7 linked regions of the Oryctolagus cuniculus genome follow. The protein of the gene in region 1 interacts with the protein of each later gene in a pairwise test. Links are inferred from orthologs where the notes say so. Each region holds a gene or a part of one and is shown in the gene's direction. Other genes may lie near its edges. The genes, in order: CCDC102B, CCDC33, NIF3L1, PPP1R18, ENKD1, FAM161A and LNX1.

Region 1 (3,500 bases):
GTGAAGGAGCTGAGCGAGCTGCGGAAGAGACAGGGCGCGGCCCCTCAGAAGCAGCCCCCGGCCGCCCCCGCTCCCCTCGCTCCTCTGGCGTCCCGGGAACACGGAGATGAACCTGAAGTCGCTTCCCAAACGTGTGAGCGTGTGGGGGAGCGCCTGCTGAGAGGACAGCGCCGGACCCGGGAGACCGTGGGCAGTCGGGTGAGAAGGTCCTCCTGGGCCCGGCGCCGGTGGCGTGGTGGGTTAATCCTCCCCTGAAGCGCCGGATTCCCGTGTGAATGCCGGTTCGAGTCCCGGCGGCCCCTCTTCCCATCCAGCTCTCTGCTGTGGCCTGGGATAGCAGTAGATGATGGCCCAAGTCCTTGATCCAGCTCTCTGCAATGGCCTGGGATAGCAGTAGATGATGGCCCAAGTCCTTGATCCAGCTCTCTGCTGTTACCTGGGATAGCAGTAGATGATGGCCCAAGTCCTTGATCGAGCTCTCTGCTATGGCCTGGGATAGCAGTAGATGATGGCCCAAGTCCTTGATCCAGCTCTCTGCTGTGGCCTGGGATAGCAGTAGATGATGGCCCAAGTCCTTGATCCAGCTCTCTGCTGTTACCTGGGATAGCAGTAGATGATGGCCCAAGTCCTTGATCGAGCTCTCTGCAATGGCCTGGGATAGCAGTAGATGATGCCCCAAGTCCTTGATCCAGCTCTCTGCTGTGGCCTGGGATAGCAGTAGATGATGGCCCAAGTCCTTGATCCAGCTCTCTGCAATGGCCTGGGAAAGCAGTGGAGGATGGTCCAAGTCCTTGATCCAGCTCTCTGCAATGGCCTGGGATAGCAGTAGATGATGGCCCAAGTCCTTGGGCCCCTGCACCCGCGTGGGAGACCCGGAAGAAGCACCTGGCTCCTGGCTTCCCATCGGCACAGGTCCCAACATTGCGGCCATTTGGGGGTGAACTAGCGTACAGAAGACCTCTCTCTCCCTCTCACTGCCTGTAACTCTGCCTCTCAAATAAATACAATCTTTAAAAAAAAAAGTTGCTCTGAGGAACCAGGGGATACCTGCATTTTTGAAGGCCTTCCATAGTGATGAGAAAGGGGAGGTGACGAGGCATTGGTTACCGTGTTCGCTTGCTAGGGCAGTTGTGAGGAATGATTTTTTTTTCTTCGTAACTATTTGTTGACCTCTTAGTGTAGGGTTAATCTTATGAGCATAAAGTTAACTGAAAATAGATCTTAGTAAAAAGAGTGAGAATAGAAGAGGGAGAAGGAAGAAAAGTGGAAGTGTGGGAGAGAGGAAGAGTGGTGGAAGGAAGGGTAGGGTGGAATAATCCCTAAATTCCTAAATTTGAGACGTGAAATATGTGAAGTTTGTACACTTTAAGTAAAAGGTTTCTAGGTTAAAAAAAAAAAAAGTACCAGCTCCTGGGTGGTCTTAGCATCAGAAATGTGGGTATTCAGGTTTTTTTTTTTTTTTTTTTTTTTTTTTTTAAAGATTGATTTATTTACATGAAAGTTAGAGTTTCCAAGAGGCAGAGGTAGAGAAATTCTTCTATCTGGTTCAGTCTCCAGTGGCCAGAGAAGACCAGAGCTGGGCCATTCCAGAGCCAAGAGTTTTTTTCTGGGCCTCCCACATGGGTGCAGGGGCCCAAGGATTTGGGCCTTCTTCTGCTTTCCGAGGTGCATTAGCAGGGAGCTGTATCAGAAGTGGAGCAGCTGGGACTTGAATCAGTACCCCTGTAGGATGCTGATGTTGCAGGTGGCAGCTTAACCTGCTATGCCACAGTGATGCCCTGTATTCACAGTTTTAGAGGATCAAATCTGAACACCAGGCGTCAGGGTTGGATTCTTCTGAGTCTCTTCTTGGCTGATAGTCATTTAATCCCTGTGATCTCACATCTCTTTCCTGTGTCTGTGTGTACAGATTTCCTTTGCCTGTACATATCCCATCATTAGGGCCACCCAATGACTCTTTTGTATCAACCCTTTAAAGGACTTTTCTCAAATAGTTACATTCATAGATAATAAAGGTTAGGATATCAATATACGGATTTTGAGAGAACACAATTCAGCACATATCCGTGACTTGACTAATACTTCTAACAGAATTTAATCCAGCATATTGTCATGTGAAAAGGAAATACTTGAAGAGGTCTCTGTCCACTTATGTCAATAGTAACAAATGACTCATAGGATAGTTTGAATATTTCCCAGGGTTTGGAACTCTGGTCTCACGATTAACTCCTTGTAAAATGGGAACCAGGAAATGCTTTGCATAGTCACTCTTAGACTTATTTAGTATACTTTGAGCTTGACTTTTCTGAGAATTTTGCACAAAATAAACTTAGAAAGTTTCATTTAATCTAGCCATTTATACATTCTTTATCCAGGAATCTCCCCTCCTCATGTTTAACCTGGTAAGGAACCCCATGGAACTTTGGAGAACTTATGGAACTCATTTTACATTGTTATTTCTTCCTACTAAATTCCATCTCTAAAAACATATTATGTATTAGATGGCATCTCTACAATTCTATCTAAAATCTTAAGCCTTTCCATGAAGTGTGGAACTTCAGGTAGGTATAATCTAGATTCCATTATCAATGAAAATTTTTAAAAGGCTGTAATAATGCAATTCCTTTTGTGTATTTAGTCTACTGACATTTTTTTCCTATAGATTTTTTTTAGTATGACAATCTAAGTCATTAGTACCTTTGAATATGTCTCTGGAGAGACAGTATGTATTTTTTTTTTTTTTCCTGTCAGGCAGAGTGGACAGTGAGAGAGAGAGAGACAGAGAGAAAGGTCTTCCTTTTGCCGTTGGTTCACCCCCCAAATGGCCACTGCGGCCGGCCGGCGCACTGCGCTGATCTGAAGCCAGGAGCCAGGTGCTTCTCCTGGTCTCCCATGCAGGTACAGGGCCCAAGAACCTGGGCCATCCTCCACTGCACTCCTGGGCCACAGCAGAGAGCTGGCCTGGAAGAGGAGCAACCGGGACAGAATCTGGCGCCCCGACCAGGACTAGAATGTGGAGTGCCGGAGCCGCAGGCGGAGGATTAGCCTATTGAGCCGCAGCACCAGCCGACAGTATGTATTCTTAAAATTTAGTTGTGTCATGGCATATCTGAGTATTTGAATTAGAGACATAGCTAGTACAATGTTCCTTGAATCCATAAACTAATTCTTGGTTATTACAATGAATTATATGAATGAACCAGGCTTTGCATTTGAAAATGAAGGTTTCTCTTCAAATGTATTATGTTGAGACATTCACAGTATTTTGAGGTTTCATTACAGTATCTCTGTGTCACCACTGTTAAGAACTAATCAGGGGCTGGCACTGTGACGCAGCGGGTTAACGCCCTGGCCTGAAGCGTTGGCATCCCATATGGGCACAGGTTTGAGTCCTGGGTGCTCCACTTCCGATCCAGCTCTCTGCTATGGCGTGGGAAAGCAGTATATGATGCCGGCGCCGTGGCTCAATAGGCTAATCCTCCACCTTGCGGCGCCAGCAC
Region 2 (2,793 bases), on another chromosome or scaffold:
TGGGACCGGGATCAGGGCTCAGGGGGTGTCCAGGGTCAGGGCTCAGTGTGGGACCAGGATCAGGGCTCAGGGTGTGTCCAGGATCAGGGCTCAGTGTGGGGCCAGGGTCAGGGCTCAGTGTGGGGTCAGGGTCAGGGCTCAGTGGTGGGACCAGGATCAGGGCTCAGTGTGGGACCAGGGTCAGGGCTCAGTGTGGGACCAGGATCAGGGCTCAGTGGTGGGACCAGGATCAGGGCTCAGTGTGGGTCCAGAATCAGGGCTCAAGGGGTGTCCAGGATCAGGGCTCAGTGTGGGGCCAGGGTCAGGGCTCAGTGTGGGACCAGGGTCAGGGCTCAGTGTGGGACCAAGGTCAGGGCTCAGTGTGGGGCCAGGGTCAGGGCTCAGTGTGGGACCAAGGTCAGGGCTCAGTGTGGGGCCAGGGTCAGGGCTCAGTGTGTGTCAAGGGACAGGCTCAGTGTGGGGCCAGGGTCAGGGCTCAATGTGGGACCAGGATCAGGGCTCAGTGTGTCCAGGATCAGGGCTCAGTGTGGGGCCAGGGTCAGGGCTCAGTGTGTGTCCAGGGTCAGGGCTCAGTGTGCACCAGGGTCAGGGCTCAGTGTGGGACCAGGATCAGGGCTCAGGGGGTGTCCAGGATCAGGGCTCAGTGTGGGGCCAAGGTCAGGGCTCAGTGTGGGGCCAGGATCAGGGCTCAGTGTGGGGCCAGGGTCAGGACTCAAGGGGTGACCAGGGTCAGGACCAAGTGTGGGACCAAGGTCAGGGCTCAGTGTGGGACCAGGGTCAGGGCTGAGTGTGGGGCCAGGATCAGGGCTCAGTGTGGGGCCAGGGTCAGGGCTCAGTGTGTGTCCAGGATCAGGGCTCAGTGTGGGGCCAGGATCAGGACTCAAGGGGTGACCAGGGTCAGGACCAAGTGTGGGACCAAGGTCAGGGCTCAGTGTGGGACCAGGGTCAGGGCTGAGTGTGGGGCCAGGGTCAGGGCTCAGTGTGGGACCAGGATCAGGGCTCAGGGGGTGTCCAGGGTCAGGGCTCAGTGTGGGGCCAGGATCAGGGCTCAGTGTGGGACCAGGATCAGGGCTCAGTGTGGGACCAGGATCTAGGATCACGGTCTGACCAGGGTCGGGGCTCAGTGTGGGACCAGGATCAGGGCTCAGGGGGTGTCCAGGATCAGGGCTCAGTGTGAGACCAGGATCTAGAATCATGGTGTGACCAGGGTCGGGGCTCAGTGTGGGACCAGGATCAGGGCTCAGCACGCTGCAGGAATGCAGGGAGGTCCCTCTGCATTGTCTCACTGGGTGGCCCCCTCCCCTCCCCTGCTGCTCCTGGGGTCATGGGAAGATCAAGGCCATACTCCCCAGAGCTTTGCTTTCCCCCGGGCCTGCTTGTCCTGGCTTTCAGGGACAGGCCCTGCTGCCCACTGCCCACCAGTTGTCCCCCTCTGTGCCCGCAGTTGGAGGACTCGGCTCGGCGCTGGGGGCGGGAGAAGCAGGACTTGGCCATGCGCCTGCAGGAGCAGGAACACGGCTTTGGGCGCCCCTCAAACTCCATCATCATAGACGCCCCCGTGAGTGGCCCCTCCGTGGGAGCAGCTGCTGGGGCTGGGAGCCACCCCACCCCTTAAGTCACTGAGACAGACTGGGCGGAGCCGCTCCTGGGCTCTGGGTCCTGCTGTGTCCCCACCACCCTTGCTCTGGCCCCATTCCTGCCCCTGCTGAGCGGAGAAGACCCTTCGAGGCCGCCCTGGCCTTGCGGTGGCCAGGAGACACCTGGAGGAGGTGACCAGGAGACGCCGGGTGCTTCCTGCACCCCATGGGTAGCTTGTGGCCCCCAGCCTGGGATGGCACAGGCTCCTTCTCAGGAGACGGCACAGCCACTGTCTCCCCAAGAACCCCCACGCTCGGCCTGTCCACTCTCTGCTCACGTACGGAGGCGTGGTGGCTGGGTTGGGAGGGAGGCTCACAAAGGACTAGGGGACCGACAGGGGACGCCCCTGGGCACCGTGGGGGGCACCTGCTGGCCCCCTGGGTTTTGGATCCTGGGAGGCCTGCTGTGGCCGGCCCACCCGGGACACGGGGCGCTCACCCCCCTCGCCTTGCAGCCATGGAAAGCCTCGACCCCCGCCAAGGACCTCGAGCGTCCCTCGGATCTGGAGCCCCTGCCGCCAGGCTCGGACACGAAGCTCGGCAAGCCCGCGGACCCCCAGCAGACCTGAGCTCCAGAGCAGGCCTCCCCCGCTGTCCTGGGGGTCTCCCCGCGGCCCCAGCCCACCCTGTGACTTCATTAAACATTGGAGCACCAAGAGCGTCGGCCCGTTTCCTAGAGCGGCGTGGCCTTGGGCCAGCCTCCGCCTCCCGGGGCTAGCAGCAGGGCCGGCCAAGGAGCTATGTCTCCATCTAGCCAGGTGGGCGCACCAGGCGGGCAGGACTAGCCCACAGCGCCGGGCTCCCTGCTCCCACAGCCGGGCTCCACCTGCACCTCTGTTGGCTGCCCGGGCACAGGGAAGCTGCACCCCCACACACACGCTCTGCCTGGCCCCCAGCCCCCTGCTGGCTCCTGAGCTGCCAGCAGCAGGCAGGTCTCCACGGAGAGGGCCTCTAAGTGGGTGCCTGAGCCCCTGAGGCTTCTGTACTGGGTGACAAACACCCCAGGGGCTCCAGGGGAAGGAAGACCCTCCGTGCGGTTCGGCCGTTTATTGTCCTGATGAGGGCGAGGAAGGGGCAGAGTGGGGAAGAGGAGCGGGGTGGGGCCAGAGATGAACCGACAGCCGTGACTCCCCTCACTGGTGGGGCGGGGCCTTCC
Region 3 (4,067 bases), on another chromosome or scaffold:
GGAGTTCTTTTTAACTTCTCCGAGTCTTAAGAGAAGCTCAAGAATAAGTCTATTCCCAAAAAGAAGAAAGAATTAAGGTCATTTTCCTGCTGTCTTCATTCACAGAGGCTCATCTTTATTGTAAATAAGAAAAAGCCTGGGGTGGTATCCCATGTAACAAAAATCCAGTTACAGAAGTGATGAGACCCTATGGAATGAAGCCCAGCAATCTGCTACTTCTACTCACTCTTCTCTAAGAGCCTCTTTGCAAGTCCAATAAGCCAGGTACATTCCCACCTTAGAATCCAGGCACTGGCTGGCAACACTAACACTAACACTTTCTTACAGCTAATTTCCTTACCTCTAGGTCTCTCCTCAAATGTCAAGTCTTACTTACCTCACAGCCCTATTTAAACAGCTGCAGGAGCCAGCACTGTGGCTAGTAGGTTAGGGCTCTGCCTGCTGCCTGCCATCCCATGTGGGCGCGGGTTCGAGTCCCGGCTGCTCCACTTGCAATCCAGCTCCCAGCTTGTGGTGTGGGGAAGCAGCAGAGGATGGCCCAAGCGCTTGGGCCTCTGCACCCACGTAGGAGATCGGGAGAAGGCTCCTGGCTCCCGGCTTCGGATCAGCTCAGCTCCGGCCATTGCGGCCATTTGGGGGAGCGAACCACCGAATGGAAGATTCTCTCTCTCTCTCTGCAACTGTCTTTCAAATAAATAAAAATAAACAAATGTTTAAAAATACAGTGCTCGAAACCCAGGACCTGTACTGTTTTCTCTTCCCAAATTACTTATCACTAACATACTAAACATACTAAATCCTTTCCTTACTTATTCTGCCGTTCCAGCAACACATTTGCCACACAGCACGTTCACTCCAAGTGTCCCAAGAACTAACAGTGCAATACAGGGCTCAGCAAGCCCTTGAAAAAGTAAATGAAAGAATGAATGAAGTTGCCCCACACTTACCCACTTCGGTCAGCACAGCCGTTGTTAAACAGCGAAGATGCAATTGCAGAAGCCTGGACAAGTCTTTCGGTTCTCAATTACGAGTTTGGGGGCCACCGGAAGTCGGGCGCGGGACCCATTAGAGAGAGCCTTCTTACCTCCTCTTTCCTCCCTTCTTCTAATATCAAACCAAAATGACTAGCACTAGGGAAACAATGTGATTTATCCGCTAATTTGAAATTTGACGGCGAGGTGCAGCTCTGTTAACTGCACTGGAGTCCGGAGCATAACCCGGAACTACCCGCCAAACTCAGGCAGTGTTTTGGGTACGACTGTAAAACAGGAGGGACCAACTTCCGCCCTGTTCCTCGCTGCCTATAGCCGAAGGCCAGGAGAGCCGGCTCGGGACGGGAAGTGGTGGCTACGGAGGTGTGCCCGGACTCGTGAGTAGTGGGCAATTTAAACCCGAAGAGAGGAGTTGTGGCAGGGTAGGAGATGACTGTTAGACGTGGGTGCTGCAGAAAAAGAGGGCACAAAACTGCCCTGCTGAACGAGCGCAGAGGGCAGTGGTGGGGCGGGGTTCCCGAGGACCTACACACTGTGCCTTCTGACCCTTCACTGCCTGGGAAAGGCTTGAAGTAGCACTGGAGTGAGCTGGAGACGAAGCAAGGCAGAGTCGTTTGCAGGTCGTATTGGCTAGCGATAACACAGGGGCTCTAGGACAGGCATTGTTCCTGCCTTGTGTTTAAATCTCGCCTGCGTACTACGAGCTGGGCGTTTTTATATTCGTCTTTTTACAGGGCAGAACCTCAGAAGTCAGGTACTTTGCCCGTGGTGGCACAGGTGTGGCCGAGGACTGCGGTCTGGCCTCCGTCAGTGCAGTTCACCAGCGTCCTGGGCTGCCACCCACTGTTCTCGCTGCCTGTGGCTCCGGGCTTGGAGCCGCCCGTTCTCTCGTGGCGGTGTTTCACCGCCTTCTTTCCAAGCGCTCTTTCACGTGTAAACGACGGAAACCCTTCGCGGTGGCACGCCGGCTTTGGAGCTGGCCAGATTTACAAGAGTTGGGAGAGTGGATTAGTATCAGGATATGTAATTGGAGGGTGGAAGTGGTGTCAGAACCATTAGATCTTCCAAGACCTTGCGTGGTTTTGGAAAGTGGTTTTGGTTTCAAAGTTGCCCCTCTTCCAGGCCAGCTCTCTGCCGTGGCCAGGGAGTGCAGTGGAGGATGGCCCAAGTGCTTGGGCCCTGCACCCCATGGGAGACCAGGAGAGCACCTGGCTTCTGCCATCGGATCAGCGTGGTGCGCCGGCCGCAGCGCGCTGGCCGCGGCGGCCATTGGAGGGTGAACCAACGGCAAAGGAAGACCTTTCTCTCTGTCTCTCTCTCTCTCATTGTCCATTCTGCCTGTCAAAGAGAGAAAGAGAGAAAGAGAGAGAGAGAGAAAGAGAGAAAGAAAGAGAGAAAGAAAGAGAGAAAGAGAGAAAGAGAGAGAGAGAGAGAAAGAGAGAAAGAGGGAAAGAGAGAAAGAGAGAAAGAAAGAATTAACCAGGGGTGAGCATTTTGGCATAGTGGTTAGGATGCTGCTTAGGACTCTGGCATTCTATTCTGAAATGCCTGGATTCAAGCCCCAGCTTCTGATTCCGGTTCCCTGCCAATGTACCCCTGGGAGGCAGCAGTGGTGGGTCAAGTCCTTGGGTCCCTGCCACCCATGGGGGAGACCTAGATTGAGTTCTAGGCTTCTGGCTTCCATCTTGTGGTCATTTGAATAAAATATGAAAGTAAATAACAGTGTAAAAAGTAATATATTGAGTATCCACATCCTATTAAAATATTTTTGCAATAGACATTGTGAAAAAATTTATTTTTGCTATCACTGTGTTATGCTTATTCATTAAATTTATAGTTGGCTATATTTCTTGTATTTCACTGTAGTAACAAAAAGCTAATGTACACTCTGGAGGACCTGTGAAGTAGGTTATAGTCTCCATTTTTTATTTTACTTTTTACAACATTTATTTGAAACCCAGAGTTAGAGAGAGAGATCTTCCATCTGCTGGTTCATTCCCCAGATGGCCACAATGGCCTTGGCTGGGCCAGTCTGAAGCCAGGAGTTAGGAATTCCATCTGGATCTCCCATGTGGGTGGCAAAGGTCCAAGCACTTGGTCCATTTTTCACTGCTTTCTCCGGGCGCATTAGCAGGCAGCTGGATCAGAAGTGGAGCAACTAGAATTGAGGATGGCGGCCTTGGAAGAGGCAGCTTAACCCACTGTGCTGCAACGCTGGCCCCAGTCTCTGTTTTTCAGATGAGCAAACAAAAAAGCTACAAGAGGTTAAATGACTGAGCTAAGTGGCAGAGGCAGTATTTGAACCCAGGTTAGTATGACAGCAGCTCTTTGACTCAGATGCTTTGAAGCCTCGGAGGTGCAGGCCTGAACTGTACATGTGTACTCTTCTCTGTGTTTGACTTCAGAAACTGAGCGTTGCCTGCTTGCTGTATGTTGTCATCTTGTGCACGCCTGGCCCCCTCGACAGTCCGGCTTGTCCATTCTCTGAACTGCAGTTCTTCCCGTTCCTTCATGGATCTGAAGGCGCTCATCTCCTCCTTGAATGACTTTGCATCCCTGTCTTTTGCTGAAAGTTGGGACAATGTTGGGTTGCTGGTGGAACCAAGCCCACCACATACTGTGAATACACTCTTCCTGACCAATGACTTGACTGAGCCAGTGATGGAGGAGGCTCTGCAAAAGAAGGCGGATCTCATCCTTTCCTACCATCCACCCATCTTCCTACCCATGAAGCGCATAACCTGGAAGTCCTGGAAGGAGCGCCTGGTGATCCGGGCTTTGGAGAACAGAGTTGCCATCTACTCTCCTCACACAGCCTATGACGCTGCACCCCAGGGAGTGAACAACTGGCTGTCCAAAGGGCTCGGTGAGAAGCCTCTTGTTCTTTCATATTTGATACTTTCTCTACAAATACTTTGAAATTTTAGAATGTCTTTCCAGTAGAGTTTTAATGTTTTAGGGGTAAGCAGGGTATTCTATTTTTATATACTTTGAAATAATGTTGCTGAAATATGGCAATTAAATTGCCTTTGAGAAATGAAACATCTTTTACCCTTAATGAGTGAGGAGAGAGCA
Region 4 (3,500 bases), on another chromosome or scaffold:
AATGGACCCTGAACTCCGGAAAGGCTCGAGAGTGGACACCCAGGGACGCAGAGACTCAGCCTCACAAAGCAGAACCTCCAGAGTCTGTCGAGAGGCGTCTGGGGCCTCCTAGTACAGGGGCTGGAGAAGCCGAGGCAGCAGAGGAGGAGGCGGGGGCTCAGGGCAGGCCTCTGAGAGCCCCGCAGAACCTCCGCTCTGCACCCTCCCCCCTCCCACCAGAGGACGCTGGGACTGCCGGCCCGAGACTGCAGGAAGAGGAAGCAGTGGGACTCCGGCCCCCACCAGCAGCCCCTCTGTCTCCCCCACCCCCAGCCCCTGCTGCTCCCCAGCCCTCTGGGGACCCCCTCATGAGCCGACTGTTCTATGGGGTGAAGGCCGGGCCAGGGGTGGGGGCCCCCCGCCGCAGTGGACACACCTTCACCGTCAACCCCCGGCGGTCTTTGCCCCCGGCCACCCCCGCCGCTCCGGCTGCCCCAGCCCCGGCTGATGCTGCGGTCCCTGGGGCTGGGAAGAAGCGGTACCCGACAGCCGAGGAGATCTTGGTTCTGGGGGGCTACCTCCGTCTCAGCCGCAGCTGCCTTGCCAAGGGGTCCCCCGAAAGACAACACAAACAGGTAGGGGAGCAGCCCGGCCAGACTTCTGGGCCACCCACCTGTCAGTTCCCTGGGTTTTCTGGAATCTGGGCTTGCTTTTTATACCCGCCGTGTTGCTCTGTTCCCTCTCCCGTCGTCCCTGCCACCACCCTTCGTTCTGGAGCCCTGCTTTTCCATTCATTTCGGAGCCCCAGGGACCAGCCCAGCAGTGCTGCTGTCTCTGGGTGTGTCTCCCAGGGTGTGCCCAGCCTGCTCATTCTCCCTTGCCTCCGGCTGAGTCTCACTCCCACCCCACCCCCCTTTGCTTTCCTTCCTTTGCTCTGAGCTGGGACCCACCCCGGCCCATCTGGTGGGAGAGATGTGGGCCCGAGCTTGCAAGATCGAGGTGATCGGGCTGACAGCACTTAGAGCTCTCAAAGAGAGAGGGGGGCAGCAAATATCGGCAGGGAGTCCGGTTTGGGTTCTGGAAGAAGCGGCAGGGAGGAGTGGAGAGGAAGCTCTTATGGCTTTGAGGGCCAGGGAGCCAGAGCCTGGCGGGCGAGGGGATGGGGCAGGGCCTGCTGCGGAGCAGAGAGAAGAAAGCTTTGGAACCCCAAGTGTGCCCCGTGGGAGAGAAGCACACAGAGGCCATTTGAAGTGGGTGACCTCGGGGTTGCATACCCCCCAGCTGGGCCACTGCCTCAGACAGTACTCCCTTCTCTCGGGACAAGAACAGCCTTTTCCTCTTCCAAAATACCCCCACCCCCCCACCCCCTGTCCTTCCTCCCTGAGCTGCCCCTCCCTCTCCAGAACTGGCTCAGCAGTAGCTTTTCCCCCCTCTCTTCCTGCCACCCTGGCCTCCCCCTCACCGCCACCCCAACAGCGGTAGAAAGAGAAGTGCATCTGGGCCCCAGGGTACAGCAGCAGGTGGGGGCTGAGACTGGCAGCGGGTCTGAGGTTGGACTGAGGCTGGGACACACAGGGGAAGTGGCAGCAGCCAGGCTGACTTCTCCCCCTGGCCGTGGCCCAACGCCTGCCCTGGGCACATCAGTTTCCAGTTTGAAAATCCCTAGGGAGCAGTCCCACACTTGACCTTGCAAGCAGACGTCTTTCCACTCCCAGCCTGGGAAGCCCCGTACCCGGCTCCTTCGGCGTGTCATGGCCTCAGATGTGTTGTCTTGGGTCCCCATTGTTGGTGGGAAGCCGCAGGGACCAAAGACCTGGCTTAAGCTTGGAGGTCATTTGGTCACTTTGCATCTTCAGCTGCCTCTGCGAGTTTACCTTGAACCCTCTGTCTGCTTCCAGCCCCTTTCCCTTGGAGCTGGGCAGAGGCAAAGGAGGGAGGTCTGGAAATTCTGCCTGGGTGTGGTGTTCAGAAAACTCACTTCCCCCTGAGGTTTGCTCGTCCTTTGGGGAACCAGCGGAGGGAGGCATGAAGCGTTGGGGCTTAAAGCCCAGGGAGCATCCAAGGGGAGCCGGGAACTAACAACTGGGCAGGGCCAGTGCTGGTGACCATACCCAGGTCAGGGAGTAGGGCAGCCGGAAGCAGATCGCCCAAACAGGAAACCTGGGGTGGGGGCCGGAAAGCTGGTGGGGCTGAGTGGGCCCTGGGCCTGCCAGAACTGTGCTCAGGATGTGGTGAGAGAATAAGGAAGCAGCCCGCTGGGGTGCAGTGGGGGCGGGGAAGAGGCAGCTCACCCTCTGCCCAGCCTCAGGCCTTCTCCTCTCCCTCAGCGCCTGCTCAGCAGGGGCGGGTGTGTCCTGGCCCAGCTCAGCCCCACCCACCCTGGCTCAGCGAAAGGACGACCCTGCCACCCTACCCCACCCTGCCTTCCTGGAATAACTGCCGTTTGCAGGCTAATTCCATCAAATTGATCCCTGCTACCAGCGGAGATGCCAGCCCTGCCACTCACTGGAGCCCAGGATATGGGCTGTGGCTGGTGCCTTCCCCGGAGGCCCCGCCCTTCTCCGGCCCCCTGGGTGACCTTATATAGCAGATGAGAGAGAAGCCAGTGAGTCACCCCCCACTCCCCCCCCACTCTCATGCAGACTCTGCATTCCTGAGACGCCCAGTCAGAAGTGGAGGGGGTAGTGGAGAGAGGCAGAGTTGGGGGAGACTCAGGGCAAATAGAATGCAGAATAAAACTACAGAGGTGGTCTTCCCAAAAGAGGCTCTGAAGAGGAAACAAATGGATTCCTAGAAATTTGGGTAAACCCGCTAGCAACAGAATCCAGGAGCCACAGACCAGAGACTGGCTTGTAAGCAATGTAGTTGCTGTCACTTGATTCTACATGGCATCAGGGCCACCTGTATACCCCTACCTGGCCCCCCAGCCTCGGTCCTGTGTTGGGACCTCATCTGAGGTCGGAGATAGCTGAACCTCCGCATTCCGAGACTTCCATCAACAGCAGATACCCACATAGTAAGTGCAGTTGGCCCTCGCTGTGCATGGCGTCCACACACAGAGGACAGGAAGTATTTGGAAAAAACAAAAAGTCACATGTGTGCTAACCACGTGCATCCTCTTTATCTTGTTGTTACCCCCTAAACAACACTGGAACATTCACTGTCATAGCATTTACACAGTATTCAATGTTGGAAGGCACCTAGATGTGATTTAAAGTACATGAAAGGATGTGTGTCGGTTCTCTGTGCCATTTTCTTTTCTTTTTTTTTTTTTTAAGATTTATTTTAGGCAGGTGCTGTGGCTCACTAGGCTAATCCTCCACCTGTGGCACCAGCACCCCGGGTTCTAGTCCCGGTCGGGGCGCCGGATTCTGTCCCTGTTGCTCCTCTTCCAGGCCAGCTCTCTGCTATGGCCCGGGAGTGCAGTGGAGGATGACCCAAGTGCTTGGGCCCTGCGCCTGCGTGGGAGACCAGGAGAAGCACCTGGCTTCGGATCGGCACAGCGTGCTGGCCGCAGTGGC
Region 5 (4,273 bases), on another chromosome or scaffold:
CCTCGTCCCCCTCCCCTGCCTGGTTCAGCTCCGGGTTGCAGTAGTTGATGTACTGGTACAGTGGCCTCAGGCGCTGGGCCTTTCCTGCAAGGACCCAGGGCGGGGCAAGGGCTAGAGTGCCAGGCTCTGTGCCATGTTGGGCCAGCAGGCAGGGAGGGAAGAGGAGGCCCAGGGGCTGCCACTCACGCTCTGGTCCCAAGGCCTCTGAGGGGGCAGGCACTGTGCTGGCCATGGCGGCCAGCACAGGAGCCCCAAGACTCTTGCGTTTCTTTGCTTTCTTGTGCTGTTTCGGGGATGGTGAGGGCTCACTCTGGCTTCCCTCCGACTCCTCCCTCTGCAGCAGTAGCCCTGGTGACAGCTCAGCTTCAACCCTAGGATGGGCATGGAGACTAGAGCTGGGGAGGCTGGGGGACTGCAGCCAGGGACAAGGGGCCTGCCAAGCCAGCCCCCAGGCCCTAGGCCTAGGGAAGAGCCCTGCCTACCCACCACCCCAGGGCTGGTTACCTGTCCCTTTCCTGGTCAGTGAGGCCCCAGGCCCAACCGGGGCCCAGAGCTCATGTGAGCCAAGTCCTCATCTCCCGTGGTGCTCCCCACAGCAGGAAGCAGAAAGGGTTGAGGGCACTGGTAGTGGGAGGAGACAAGAATCTGCTCTACAGGAGAGCAGGACCTAGAACCCCACTAGGGTGTGAGCCCCACGCCTCAGCCCTGCGGCTCTCTCCCTGGAAGCCTCCTCACTTGACTGGCTTCCTCTTGGGCCCATGACCAGGCCTCATGGGGGAGGCCATAGGCCTGGGGCCTTTCTCCTCTGGTGCTTCCACCTGCGGCTTGAGCGCTCGTTCCTGGAGCTCTGGCTCTGAGGCATGTCCTCTTGGACACCTGTCTGCACCTGGGGTCCTGCAGGCCTCGTAGGCTGGCTCCAGGCACTGAGCTTCCATCACTGGGCACTAGAAGTGACACATAGGCAACTGGTCACCATGGTTAGGTAGAGTCTATAGCCATAAGTCAGCTGGTGCCCAGCATTAGCCACCAAACACGGGGTGGAGGGCACCAGCCCATGCCCAGCCCCAGCTTGGTCATCCGGAGTCCGGTCCCCCAGTGTGGCACGGCCAGGGTGTGAAGGCTTCACAGCCTTGGCCATCACCTCAGAGCGGCCACTGGGTGCCTTCACGAGCTGTGCCGGCCCCACGGCCACCCCTTCCTGGGCTCCTGGCGGCCTCTCCGCCCCTGCCGAGGCCATGGCTGCGCGGGGTCAACGCGTCCTCGCCGGTTACCTACGGAGAGAAGGGAGACGAGCCATGAGGGGCTGCACTGGTGGGCCCTGAGCTGACCACAGAGACTGGCTGGGAAGCGAGCTGCGAAGGGAAATTGGTGGTCGCCCCACCTGCCCTCGGCTGGAACTACAAGCCCCAGAAGGCCTTGCGCCAGGGTCACTGCCCCTGACCTCAGGGACGGAAGCCATTCGTTGCCTGGCAACAGCAACTCCCTTCGCGGTGCTGCAGCTGGCGGCAAAACTGCTAGAGTGAGCCGGGCTCGGGGGTTACCGGGAAGAGGCCGCGAACCCCGAAGGGACGTGGGTTAGCGGCGGGGCGGGAGACGAAGGGGGCCGGGAATGGGGGGCACTGCCATGGTCTGGGTCTAGGTGGAGGGAGGAGGCGCAGGGCTGGGGAAGGGAGTCCCGGGCGGGAGGTGCACAGCCTGGCAGGCCTCGGTGCACCGTTGCAGGGCGTCGAGGACAGCATGTGCGAGGGCCCGTCCCGCATCTCGGGGCCCATCCCCCCAGACCCCACGCTCTGCCCAGACTACTACCGGCGGCCGGCCTCAGGTGAGTCGGGGGTGCTGCGGAGGGGGCAAGGCCCGGGATCGCCTGCCGCTCCACCGCTGAGCTCCGCACTCGGCCCTGTCCCGCCCCTCAGCCCAGGGCCGCCTCGAAGGAAACGCGCTGAAGCCGGACGCCACCCCACCCCGCGGGCCCCGCATCAGGCCCGGAGGCCGAGAGATCTTGGAGCGTGGCTGGCGAGGCGTAGGGGGCGTGCTGCTGCAGCTCGAGGGCATCTCCCTCAGTCCGCGGGTCTCGCCCAAGAGTAAGTCCGGCAGAAGGGGCAGTGAGGCAGTTGGAAATCAAAAGCGGCTGTCCCTTCCCTGACCTGGGCCCAGGCTTTGCCTCTCTTGAGCGTCAGTTTCCCGCGGGAGGGAACCTCATTAATTCATGCATCAAAACGTGTTTCCTGTGTGGCAGGCCTTGTGGGTGCCAGGAAAGCAGGGTCGTAGGCAAGGTGGGAGGCAGTAAGTGAAGACATGAGGCGATCCAGGGTATTTACTGAAAAAATACAGAAAATAACGAGGGGAGATTTACATGCAGGCAGGGGAGCGAGGGGAGGTCTGGTGTGTAGACAGCGTCTGGCAGACACAGAAACCGGGAGATCTTTCTGGAGAGGGCGGGCAGGGAGCTGGTCAGGGCAGAGCCTGGGAGCACCTTTCCCCCAGGGAAGGACCCTAAAGACCATGAGAAGGAGAACCTGAGGCGGATCAAGGAGATCCAGAGACGCTTCCGGGAGCAGGGCCACGGCCGGGAGCAGGGCCAGCCCCAGCCGCTGAAGGCTCTGTGGCGCTCACCCAAGTATGACAAGGTGGAGTCTCGAGTCAAGGCCCAGCTGCAGGTACCCGCCCCAAGGAGCCGAACCCTGGCCTGCACTGTGGGGAGGGAGGCACCTGATGCTGTCATGGCGTGGGGCTGGGGTCACTTCTCAGAAGTGGTCATGGCTATGCTGGTCATGAATGGCAAGTAGGGATTGGGCAAGGGGAGAGTAGTATAGAATATTCCAGAAAGAGGGCGGGCGTGTGGCCTAGTGGTGCAAACGCTGGTTCGGAAGCCTGTATTCCACATCAGGGTGGGTGCTGGGTTCCGTCCCCAGCTGCGGCTCTTTGACCCCAGGGAGGCAGTGGTGAAGGCTGCTCCACCTGAGGGACGTGGGTCGCACTCCTGGTGCCCAGCCTCAGTCATTACAGGCACCTGGGGAGTGAACCAGGCAATGGGAGCTCCGTCTCTCTGCCTCAGGAAAGGAAAAGAAAAAAAAAGCAAAGTGTAATTAAAAGAAAAAAAAATAAAGAACATGCCACAGAGATGGAACCTCACAGGCGGGAGTCCGGAGACCAGCGGGAGCAGGCAGTGAAGGTGCCAGGTTCTCTGCTAGCAGTGTGGCTCCCACTGGGAGAGGGGAAAAGCATGAGGTTAGGCCAGGAAGTCAGCCGGAGCTACGTCATAAAGGACCCCCAAGCCGCTTCCCTTTTTTTCTCCCTCCTCCCCTCCCTTGCTCTCTTTCTCCACTTCTTCCTTCCTCCTCCTTTCCGAGAACCAGAGCGCTCCCATGTGCTGGGTCACTCTCCGAATGCCCACAGTGGCCAGGCCAGGAGCCATCACCACTGCCTCCCAGTGTCTGCATTAGCAGGAAGCTGGGGTCAGCAGCCAGAGCTGGGGATGGAACCTAGGCACTCTGATGTGGAACATGGGGTCTTAACTGTCTAAGCCACTTTCTGGAAAAATTGGATTTATTTGACAGAGAATGCTAGATCCTCCATCCATTGGTTCACTCCACAAATGCCTGCAACAGCTGAGGCTGGGCCAGGCTGAAGCCAGGAAACCAGAACTGAATCCCATATGGGTGGCAGGGACTCAAGTACTTGACCATCACCTGCTACACACACACACATACACAAACATACACACACACAACCCCACACACACCCCAGGATGTATATTAGCAGGAACCTGGAATGAAAAGTGGAGCCCAGACTGGAACCCAGGCACTCTGATAGGGGATGCAGGCATCCTAAGCAATGCCCTTTTTTAATGATTATGGTATTTTCAAAAATGACTGCTTATTTTCATTTACTTGAAAGGCAGATTGAGATATAGAGACAGAAACAAAGGGAGCTTCCATCCTGTGGCTGGGACTGGGCCAGGCAGAAGCCAGGAACCTGGAACTCCATCTGGGTTTCCCTAGTAGAAGGCAGGGTCCCAAGCCCTTGAGCCATCATCTGCTGGCTCTCAGGGTGCAACAGCAGGGAGCTGGACTGGAAGTGAGCAACCAGGACTTCAGCTGGCAGTCTGATATGGGATGCCGACATCTCAAGCGGCAGCTTAACCCACTACACCACCATGGCCACCCCACAGGCAGGGTCTTCACTGCTGTGCCAAATGCCCACCCCGAAGACACTTTTCAAACGCTTACTTTGAGGACAGTGGAAGGGTAGGGCAGGGGTATCATGGTAGGAT
Region 6 (4,131 bases), on another chromosome or scaffold:
CTGCCTGTGGCACTAGCACCCCATATGGGTGCCGATTAGTGTCCCAGCTGCTCCACTTCCACTCCACCTGGGAAAGCAGCTGGCCTACGTGGGAGACCCAGAAGAGGCTCCTGGCTTTGGTCTTACCTTGGCGGTTATGGCCATTTGGGGTGTAAACTAGCAGATGGAAGATCAATCTCTCCTTCTCTAACTGCCTTTCAAATAAATACATGAATCCTAAAAAACAACAGGGGAGACGGAGATGGCATTCCAGATTGCTGGTTTAGGCGTGGTGCAGCCCTAGCCAATGTGGCCATTTGGGCCATTGAACCTGCGGACGAAGATCTGTCTTTGTCTTCCTCTCTCTAACTTTGGCTTTCAAATAAATTTTTAAAAAACTTTTAAAAAGTAAATAAAAACTTCCCCTCTTAAATAATCATTTCCCCCTAAATAAAAGTTACCTGCTTGTGGAGTTAGACTTTGGAAATGATTCTTCGTGGTTTCCTCATTTGCTGCAGGTAAGTTACTTTGTTTTGTTTAAGATTTTATTCATTTATTTGAGAGGTAGAGTTAGAGTAGAGACAGAAAGGTCTTCCATCTGTTGGTTCACCCCCCAAATGGCCGCAGTGGCCGGAGCCGCGCCCATCCGAAGCCAGGAGCCTCTTCCGGGTCTCTCTTGCGGCTGCAGGGACGCACGCACCTGGGCCATCCTCCACTGCCTTCCCAGGCCACAGCAGAGAGCTGGACTGGAAGAGCAGCAGCTGGAACTAGAACCGGCGCCCCTGGCCGCAGGCGGAGGATTAACATATTGAGCCTCGGAGAAGGCCCCCAGATAAGTTGCTTTGTGTGACAGCTCCTCCCGGTGTTTCTTAGAACTCGCCAGAAAGCGGGACCACACTTTGGAGTGACAAAGGCCCTTAACAGAACGGGAAATAGTGCAGACTTGGCCAGGGGCGAAGGAATCCAAATGATAGGGCGAGGAAAGGGGCGGCGGCCTTGGTCTCACCAAGGAGGGGCTGAGGCAGCATGTGACACTCTGGCTTGGCCTCTTGCAGCCACGTGGTGAAGGGAAGGAGCCAGTGGAGGCGCCCCAGTGCCCAGTGGGAAGGTGGCGGGGGTGAGGTGGAATGAAGGTGTGTCTATGGCGCGTCGGACACTGGCGCCCTCAGTCCCCGCCACTCATAGGCCTGCGACTCCAAAGCGAGCATCGCGTTCTGTACGGGTATCGTCATTGGTGGGCGGGCCAGGCGCCACCCTACCCTGGGCTTTTTATTGGTCAGGTCAAAAAAATCGCGCGAGAGTCACCTAGCAGCCTCCTTCTGATTGGCTGATTCCTGCTCAGGTCAATCCTTCCCCTTCTCTTGCTCTGAGGCAGCCATGTTTGGTATTGGGATACAAATCTTGACATTCTTCTGAGGTCACTTCACAATAAGATGCTACTCTCCTCCGCCATCATCCCCTCCCAACCTGGTATTCCAGTTAATAAAAATGCGCTCTTGTCTTCACAAAACGGGTGTGTTATGATAGTGTCAGAAGTCTGCGTTTAGGTGACCGGAGGGGAAGAGGTGCCCTTTTCCGTCCGCAATCTTCTAATCCAGCAAACAGATTTAGTTCTGACTCCCATTCTCCAGTTGAGTGACGGACTCGGGTCCCAGGCAGCCCGAGAAGCTTTTTAGTCTTTTGATCCCTCGCAGCCCCTGTAGCGTCCCTAGTTACCGCGCCCCTAGTAACCGCCGGCTGTAAGCGAGGAGCCGCCGGGTCTCCCGGGCCGCGCCAGCTTACCCGCCCCGGGCCAGCGCTGGCGCTCCGGCCTCGGAGGCGGGTGATGGCCGCCTCACACCGAGAGGCCAGGCTGGCGGCCGCCAGTCTCCAACTCCCGGTAAATCCCAACACCGGAGCGCGGGTCGCCCAGTACGAACGCGAAGACCCCTTCACTTCCCTGACGGCAGCGGCGGCGGCCTCGGAGGATGAAGACGACTACAAAGTTGTGCGGCCTGAGCGAGTGGCGGTACAGCGGGGGCACGACCGGGGATGGGACTGGGCGCGGGCTAAGGGCTGGTCCCGGTCCCCGCCAGGCTGATTTCCGGCTGGGAGACGCGGTGCCGCGTGCAGATCCTCCCGACCCGGTCCCCGGCCCACCTCTTTCTCTGCCCCCACAGAAAATACTCGACACGGAGGCGTGGGAAGGCCTTTTAATTTTCACCGAAGAGATTACTATAAAAATTTCTTGGAGGGCATTCATGTCACTCCATTTTCTAGACAGTTCAAAGTACAGAATTTTATTCCCTACTCTTTAAGTATCTGTTGGGAATGAACAGCCAGTATTCGCGTTTTTTTGTTTACTTAACGAGGAAAATTAATCTATCCCTTGGTGGATAATCCCTGAAGAAACAGGTGCATCAGCTGTGCTATCAATTGTACTTTAGTGTTACCTGACGGGTGTTTAAAACATCAAGATGGTGGGTAAATCGACACACGTACAGATAAATAGCCAGAGAAGCAAATTACTGAGATTCCAGTGCTTCCCAAATGACTCCTCAGGGTGGGAGGAAACAGCCTATTCGTTGATCAGTTTTCAGAGCCACATGTGTCCTGCTCGCAAGTCCACCAGGTTCAGCGTTCTTTAATTTGTCCAAAGCGTCTCATAAGCTAACTGTCATGGCCTGGGTCTAGTAGAAATAAATAACTGCATGTTTTGGAATTGTTATCTGTACTCTAAAGCTATTAATGAAAAATTTTGTAGCAGCATTTTGTATGGCCAATATCTCTCCAACAGGGTAACAACTCATGGTTATCCCTAAGTAAGGCAGCTGGAGACCCTGAACATGAACCAGGGGAAGCATCCGAGGACCAGCTTTGCTGTAATAAAGCTCCCCCCACCCCCACCCCTCACACAATTTTCAGTGGGCAACAAAGGAGGCACAGTGATGGAGGAAAAAAATCTTTGAATGGAGGAAAAGAATTTGGAATCCTGAAGTCGAATCCATTCTCTGCCATGTGCTGGGTGATGTTAGCACATAACTTCCTTAAAATCTCAGTTTCTTTCTCTGAACAAAAAGAATAATTGTCTCTCTTTCCCAGCTGACCTAGCTAATATAAGATCCAAATAAGATAATGTATGTTTTATTGAAAGCACAATTTATATAAATAATAGTTATTTAATTTTTTCAATTTATTTATTTAAAAGGCAGAGAGCTAGAGACAGAGACAAAGAGGGATCCTTCGTATGTTGGTCCCCCAAAAGCCTGCAGTAGATATGGCTGGGCCAGGTTGATACTGGTAATTGGGAACTCCATTTGGATCTCTCACGTGGATAGCAGGTACATAAGTACTATCAGAACCATCACCTGCTGCCTCTCAGGTCATGTATTAGCAGGGAGCTAGAATTGGAAGCGGAGTCAGGACTTGAACCTAGGCACTCTGATACAGGATGCAAGCAGTATCTTAACCACTGTGCCAAGCACCCACCCCAAATTAAAACAACTGCCCATGGGACTGCCATTTGAACAACTTGCCCTAAGATGACAGTGTGATTTGGCTGCTGTGGTAGGGGAGTCAGTCATTTATCTGTAGTGGTAATTACACTTCCAGAGGGCCTGTTAAGCTAAAATGTATACTACAAACTAATATTACCTTAGGAGAGATTAGTTTGTACAATGAGCTAGTTTCAAAAGGATGGGGACCTACCCAAAAAAGAAAACTAAGTCTTATGAGTTTGACACTGTTCTGAGGCCATCGTACCTGACAGATCCCAGAAGTAAACCTTGATAAGCTACCACAGAAAGTCCCACAGGGCAGAAAGTTCTGGGGCTGGAGGAAAAAGTGCTGAAAAGACAGGGAAGAGAGTGTAGGAGTCAGATATTTGCCTTCAGATTGGTTAGAGTCTCTATCTCAAATTTTCAGGGTTAATTTGTTTCAGTTTTGTCAAATATAACATGTAAATGCAGATACCATACCCACCAGAACTATCACAATAAGCTTCTGTTAGTCCTTTTGTTTTGCCAAAGCCAGTCTACCCCATCACTTCCATGCACCATAACCCCCTCCTGTATACATATACCCTTACGTGATTCTTTGACCTTGTTTGGGCACTTAGGTATGGTGCTTGAATCTAGTTTGGAGATATCAGTTTATAGGTCCTGCTATGTGGGT
Region 7 (3,500 bases), on another chromosome or scaffold:
CACCTGCCGCAGCCCGCTCTCGGGGGTGGGGGTCGGGGCGGAGGAACCTCTGAATTTATCAGAGCCAGGCCTGCGGTGTCAGATCTTTCCAGATGGCAAACGCAGAGGCAGGGCCCAGAGGCTTCCCGGCCTCCGTGTTCCAGCCCGAGCCGCCATCCCCAACACCCCTCTGCGCACTTCTGTTCCAGCTGGGGTGCAGAAGCCGTGCTGTTCCAGGCTGCTGGCTGCCACACGGGGCTGCAGGGGATCCCACGGAGGCCCAGACAGCCGGGCTCTGGGCTGGTGCTGCAGACCAGCAGGCTCTGCCATGCCCAGGCCGGTGCCGCCTTCCCCTCACGGCACTTAAACAGCCGCACTTGGGAAGTAAAGGCTTCACTGCCAGGCTGCCAGGTGGCCACGGTGTGGGGCGGAGCCACAGGGCTGGGAGAGGTTTCTTGGGGAAGGCAGGTCCCTCAGCTGAAAGCAGAGCCCAGGGGAGGGCATTGGAGCAGTGGCCGGATGCTGGCTGGAACACCCACGTCCCGTGGCACAGTTCCCCGGGCCAGGGCGGCAGCTCCACTCCCGATCCCAGCTGCCGGCCGGCGCACACCCCAGGAAGCAGCAGGTGATGGCTCAAGTGGTTGGGTCCCTGCCACCCATGTGAGAGACGCGGACGGAGTTGCCAGCCCCAGCTGTTGCAGGCACCTGGGGAGTGAACTGCCAGAATGGGAGATCTCGCCTTCTCCCTCCTTCAAATAAAATACATTTTTAAAAACAGAGTCTGGAGACACAAGTCAGGTGATCTGTGGGTCTCCTTGCAGCTCTGAATTCGGTGATGTTGGCAGTCCCCGCCTGCAGCTAGCCATTGGCCACCTCTGGGTCCCGACGCAGGTCTCTTAATGTGCATTCCTGGGCAGCAGGGTCCGGGGGCACGGATGACTCCTCGTGTCTGAAAGGTGGGCCCTTCAGGGTGATCGGGGATGACCGAGAGCAGGATTGTTGTGGCCTTGTCTCTCGGCGAGCAAGGGGTGAACTGCAGCTTGTTCCATAGAGCCCACGAGGTCATTCATTCCTGTCCGCTCAGACCTGTGTGCAGGATCAGCCAGACTTTACGCCTCAGGGTTCCAGGGTCCGTGGGGCGCCTGAGAAATGGGCGTGAATGGCGATCGTTGGAAATGGAGTGCAATAAAAATAATAGAAAGGTTATGGGGAACGGGGCGGCCAGGGAGAGCCAGGGAGAGGGATCGTTCAAACAGACTTGAAGGGAAAATTGGGTTTCGGCCCAGGTTGGAAAAGTATTCCAGGCAGAGGAAGTTGGGCTGGCACAGAGGCGGTGAGTGGAACGCAGCCACGGGGAGCGATGAATGGTCCTGTTTGGCTGAACCGGGCTCTGGCGAGATGAGCGGTGGAAATGTCGCTGGGTGGGTGTCTAACAAACGCCGCCTGTGTGCCTTTCAGCCTATCCGAGGCTGTATCACCTGATTCCGGACGGGGAGGTCACCAGCGTCAAGATCACCCGCGCGCATCCCCGGGAAAGCCTCTCCATGAGGCTCGTGGGGGGCAGCGAGACGCCGCTGGTCCACATGGTCATCCAGCACATCTACCGCGACGGCGCCATCGCCAGGGACGGCCGGCTCCTGCCGGGGGACATCGTGCTGAAGGTGGGGGAACCTGTCCCAGCCTGAAACGGGATGTGGACGGAGGGGCCGATGGACGGATGCGGGGGGTGGATGGATGGGCAGATGGACGGACAGATGGGAGGAAGGGAGGGAGGGAGGGAGGGAGGGAGGGAGGAATGGACGGATGGGTGGATGGATGGACAGATGGGAGGGAGGGAGGGATGGACAGATGGGAGGGAGGGAGGGATGGACGGATGGGTGGATGGATGGACAGATGGGAGGGAGGGATGGAGGGAGGGAGAGAAGGAGGGAGGAATGAACGGATGGAGGGATGGATGGACAGATGGGAGGGAGGGAGGGAGGGAGAGAGGGATAGATGGACAGATGGGAGGGAGGGAGGGATGGACGGATGGAGGGATGGATGGACAGATGGGAGGGAGGGAGGGAGCGAGAGAGGGAGGGAGGAATGGACGGATGGGCGAATGGATGGACAGATGGGAGGGAGGGAGGAATGGATGGATGGGCGGATGGATGGACAGATGGGAGGGAGGGAGGGATGGACGGATGGAGGGATAGATGGACAGATAGGAGGGAGGGAGGGAGGGAGGGAGGGATGGATGGACAGATGGGAGGGAGGGAGGGATGGATGGACAGATGGGAGGGAAGGAGGGATGGATGGACAGATGGGAGGGAGGGAGGGATGGACGGATGGAGGGATAGATGGACAGATAGGAGGGAGGGAGGGAGGGAGGGAGGGATGGATGGACAGATGGGAGGGAGGGAGGGATGGATGGACAGATGGGAGGGAAGGAGGGATGGATGGACAGATGGGAGGGAGGGAGGGATGGACGGATGGATGGGGGAGGGATGGAGGGAGAGAGAGAGGGAGGTGGGAGGATGAGTGGACAGCTGAGTGGAAAGGAGGAAGAATGGACGGACAGACAGACGGATGGGTGGCTCGACGAGGGAGCGTAGCAGGTGTGGCTCGTCGCTCTGCATACTTAGTGTGTTCTCAGGACTTCTCAGGCGCGAGTTGTGATTGAGCTGAGACAGGTCCCTCGCCCCGCCGGCCTCTCCCCTTCCTCCCCCTACACAGAGGTTTCTCTCTGTGTGGTTTCGTCTCTGCCCCTCCTTTCCCCACGCCCCCCTCCCCCTTCTCAGCCTTCTTCATCTTCCTGGCCCTTTCCCCGTCTCCTCTTTCTTCTGCCCTCTCTCCTCCCACCTCCCCTTCCCAGGCAGCCTTAGTAAGATACAACTGGAGCTCCCGTGTCCTGGCATTGGCCGGAGAGCGGAGTCGTGGGAAATCGTGTACTTTCTAATGTCACCTGCTGTCCTGTAGTTCAGTGGAGAGCCATGGGAACAAAAGTCGCTCCCCCCGACGCAGACACCCTCAGGGGAGACAGGCAGGAGCCTCATACCCGAGGTGCTGTCCCCCGGGGGCTTCCTAGCAGGAGAGCAGTGAAGGGGGGTTTCCAAAGAGAAAGAGGGAGGGGAGTGTTTATCAGACAGGGTCCACAGTGTTTATCAGACGAGAGACTCCCCCCTGCCCGTGGGTGTCCCGCGTGATGCACAGTCACGTGCACCCCTCCCCCTCCAGGTTGCTGAAGGACAAGTGTCTGTCGCACTGGGAGCCGCTGCTAGGGCAGAGTGATTGACACAGAGGAGAAACGCCTTCCCACCAGGCCCGGGGTAGAGCACACGGCCAGGCCGCTCCTCATCAGGGGCGGGACCTCCGGCTGCCTGGAGGGTTGCGGAGCAGCGCCTTTTAATTCTTGTGGTCTTCAACTGGCGCCTGCAGGCAAAGGGGCTGCCAGGGCTCCAGCAGGCAGCCCTGAGCTCCTCCCTCCCCCACCCCCCCACCTGGCTGTGCCCGGGCCCCAGCTGCTGCCTTGGCGCTGCTCT

What was found.
Region 2: the proteins of CCDC102B (region 1) and CCDC33 interact in a two-hybrid assay, tested with the Homo sapiens proteins (2 studies listed by BioGRID). The two-hybrid records come from large-scale screens. The link is inferred for Oryctolagus cuniculus from reciprocal best matches to the Homo sapiens genes CCDC102B and CCDC33.
Region 3: the proteins of CCDC102B (region 1) and NIF3L1 interact in binary tests that used the Homo sapiens proteins (3 or more experiments, as listed by UniProt). The two-hybrid records come from large-scale screens. The link is inferred for Oryctolagus cuniculus from reciprocal best matches to the Homo sapiens genes CCDC102B and NIF3L1.
Region 4: the proteins of CCDC102B (region 1) and PPP1R18 interact in binary tests that used the Homo sapiens proteins (3 or more experiments, as listed by UniProt). The two-hybrid records come from large-scale screens. The link is inferred for Oryctolagus cuniculus from reciprocal best matches to the Homo sapiens genes CCDC102B and PPP1R18.
Region 5: the proteins of CCDC102B (region 1) and ENKD1 interact in binary tests that used the Homo sapiens proteins (3 or more experiments, as listed by UniProt). The two-hybrid records come from large-scale screens. The link is inferred for Oryctolagus cuniculus from reciprocal best matches to the Homo sapiens genes CCDC102B and ENKD1.
Region 6: the proteins of CCDC102B (region 1) and FAM161A interact in binary tests that used the Homo sapiens proteins (3 or more experiments, as listed by UniProt). The two-hybrid records come from large-scale screens. The link is inferred for Oryctolagus cuniculus from reciprocal best matches to the Homo sapiens genes CCDC102B and FAM161A.
Region 7: the proteins of CCDC102B (region 1) and LNX1 interact in binary tests that used the Homo sapiens proteins (3 or more experiments, as listed by UniProt). The link is inferred for Oryctolagus cuniculus from reciprocal best matches to the Homo sapiens genes CCDC102B and LNX1.

The regions. Positions count from the first base shown.
Region 1 is NC_091441.1:9,984,277-9,987,776, reverse strand, and holds part of CCDC102B (coiled-coil domain-containing protein 102B), read left to right. Parts: coding exon 1-198; intron 199-3,500. UniProt on the Homo sapiens protein: During interphase, forms fibers at the proximal ends of centrioles to maintain centrosome cohesion. During mitosis, dissociates from the centrosome following phosphorylation to allow centrosome separation. Contributes to CROCC/rootletin filament formation.
Region 2 is NC_091443.1:109,313,392-109,316,184, reverse strand, and holds the end of CCDC33 (coiled-coil domain-containing protein 33), read left to right. Parts: intron 1-1,444; coding exon 1,445-1,558; intron 1,559-2,092; coding exon 2,093-2,206; 3' UTR 2,207-2,293; downstream 2,294-2,793.
Region 3 is NC_091434.1:39,117,357-39,121,423, reverse strand, and holds the start of NIF3L1 (NIF3-like protein 1), read left to right. Parts: upstream 1-1,267; 5' UTR 1,268-1,369; exon of another isoform or gene 1,370-1,414; intron 1,415-3,123; exon of another isoform or gene 3,124-3,216; 5' UTR 3,217-3,300; intron 3,301-3,397; 5' UTR 3,398-3,422; coding exon 3,423-3,858; intron 3,859-4,067. UniProt on the Homo sapiens protein: May function as a transcriptional corepressor through its interaction with COPS2, negatively regulating the expression of genes involved in neuronal differentiation.
Region 4 is NC_091436.1:139,749,969-139,753,468, forward strand, and holds part of PPP1R18 (phostensin), read left to right. Parts: coding exon 1-614; intron 615-3,500.
Region 5 is NC_091449.1:50,907,477-50,911,749, reverse strand, and holds the start of ENKD1 (enkurin domain-containing protein 1), read left to right. Parts: upstream 1-1,473; 5' UTR 1,474-1,574; intron 1,575-1,722; 5' UTR 1,723-1,737; coding exon 1,738-1,822; intron 1,823-1,913; coding exon 1,914-2,081; intron 2,082-2,484; coding exon 2,485-2,657; intron 2,658-4,273. Other genes in the region: C18H16orf86 (uncharacterized protein C16orf86 homolog), read right to left, coding at 1-371, 736-944, 1,142-1,237. UniProt on the Homo sapiens protein: Microtubule-binding protein which regulates microtubule organization and stability. Promotes the stability of astral microtubules and facilitates the proper orientation of the mitotic spindle.
Region 6 is NC_091433.1:140,941,812-140,945,942, forward strand, and holds the start of FAM161A (protein FAM161A), read left to right. Parts: upstream 1-1,331; 5' UTR 1,332-1,804; coding exon 1,805-1,987; intron 1,988-4,131. UniProt on the Homo sapiens protein: Involved in ciliogenesis.
Region 7 is NC_091439.1:110,399,100-110,402,599, forward strand, and holds part of LNX1 (E3 ubiquitin-protein ligase LNX), read left to right. Parts: intron 1-1,437; coding exon 1,438-1,640; intron 1,641-3,500.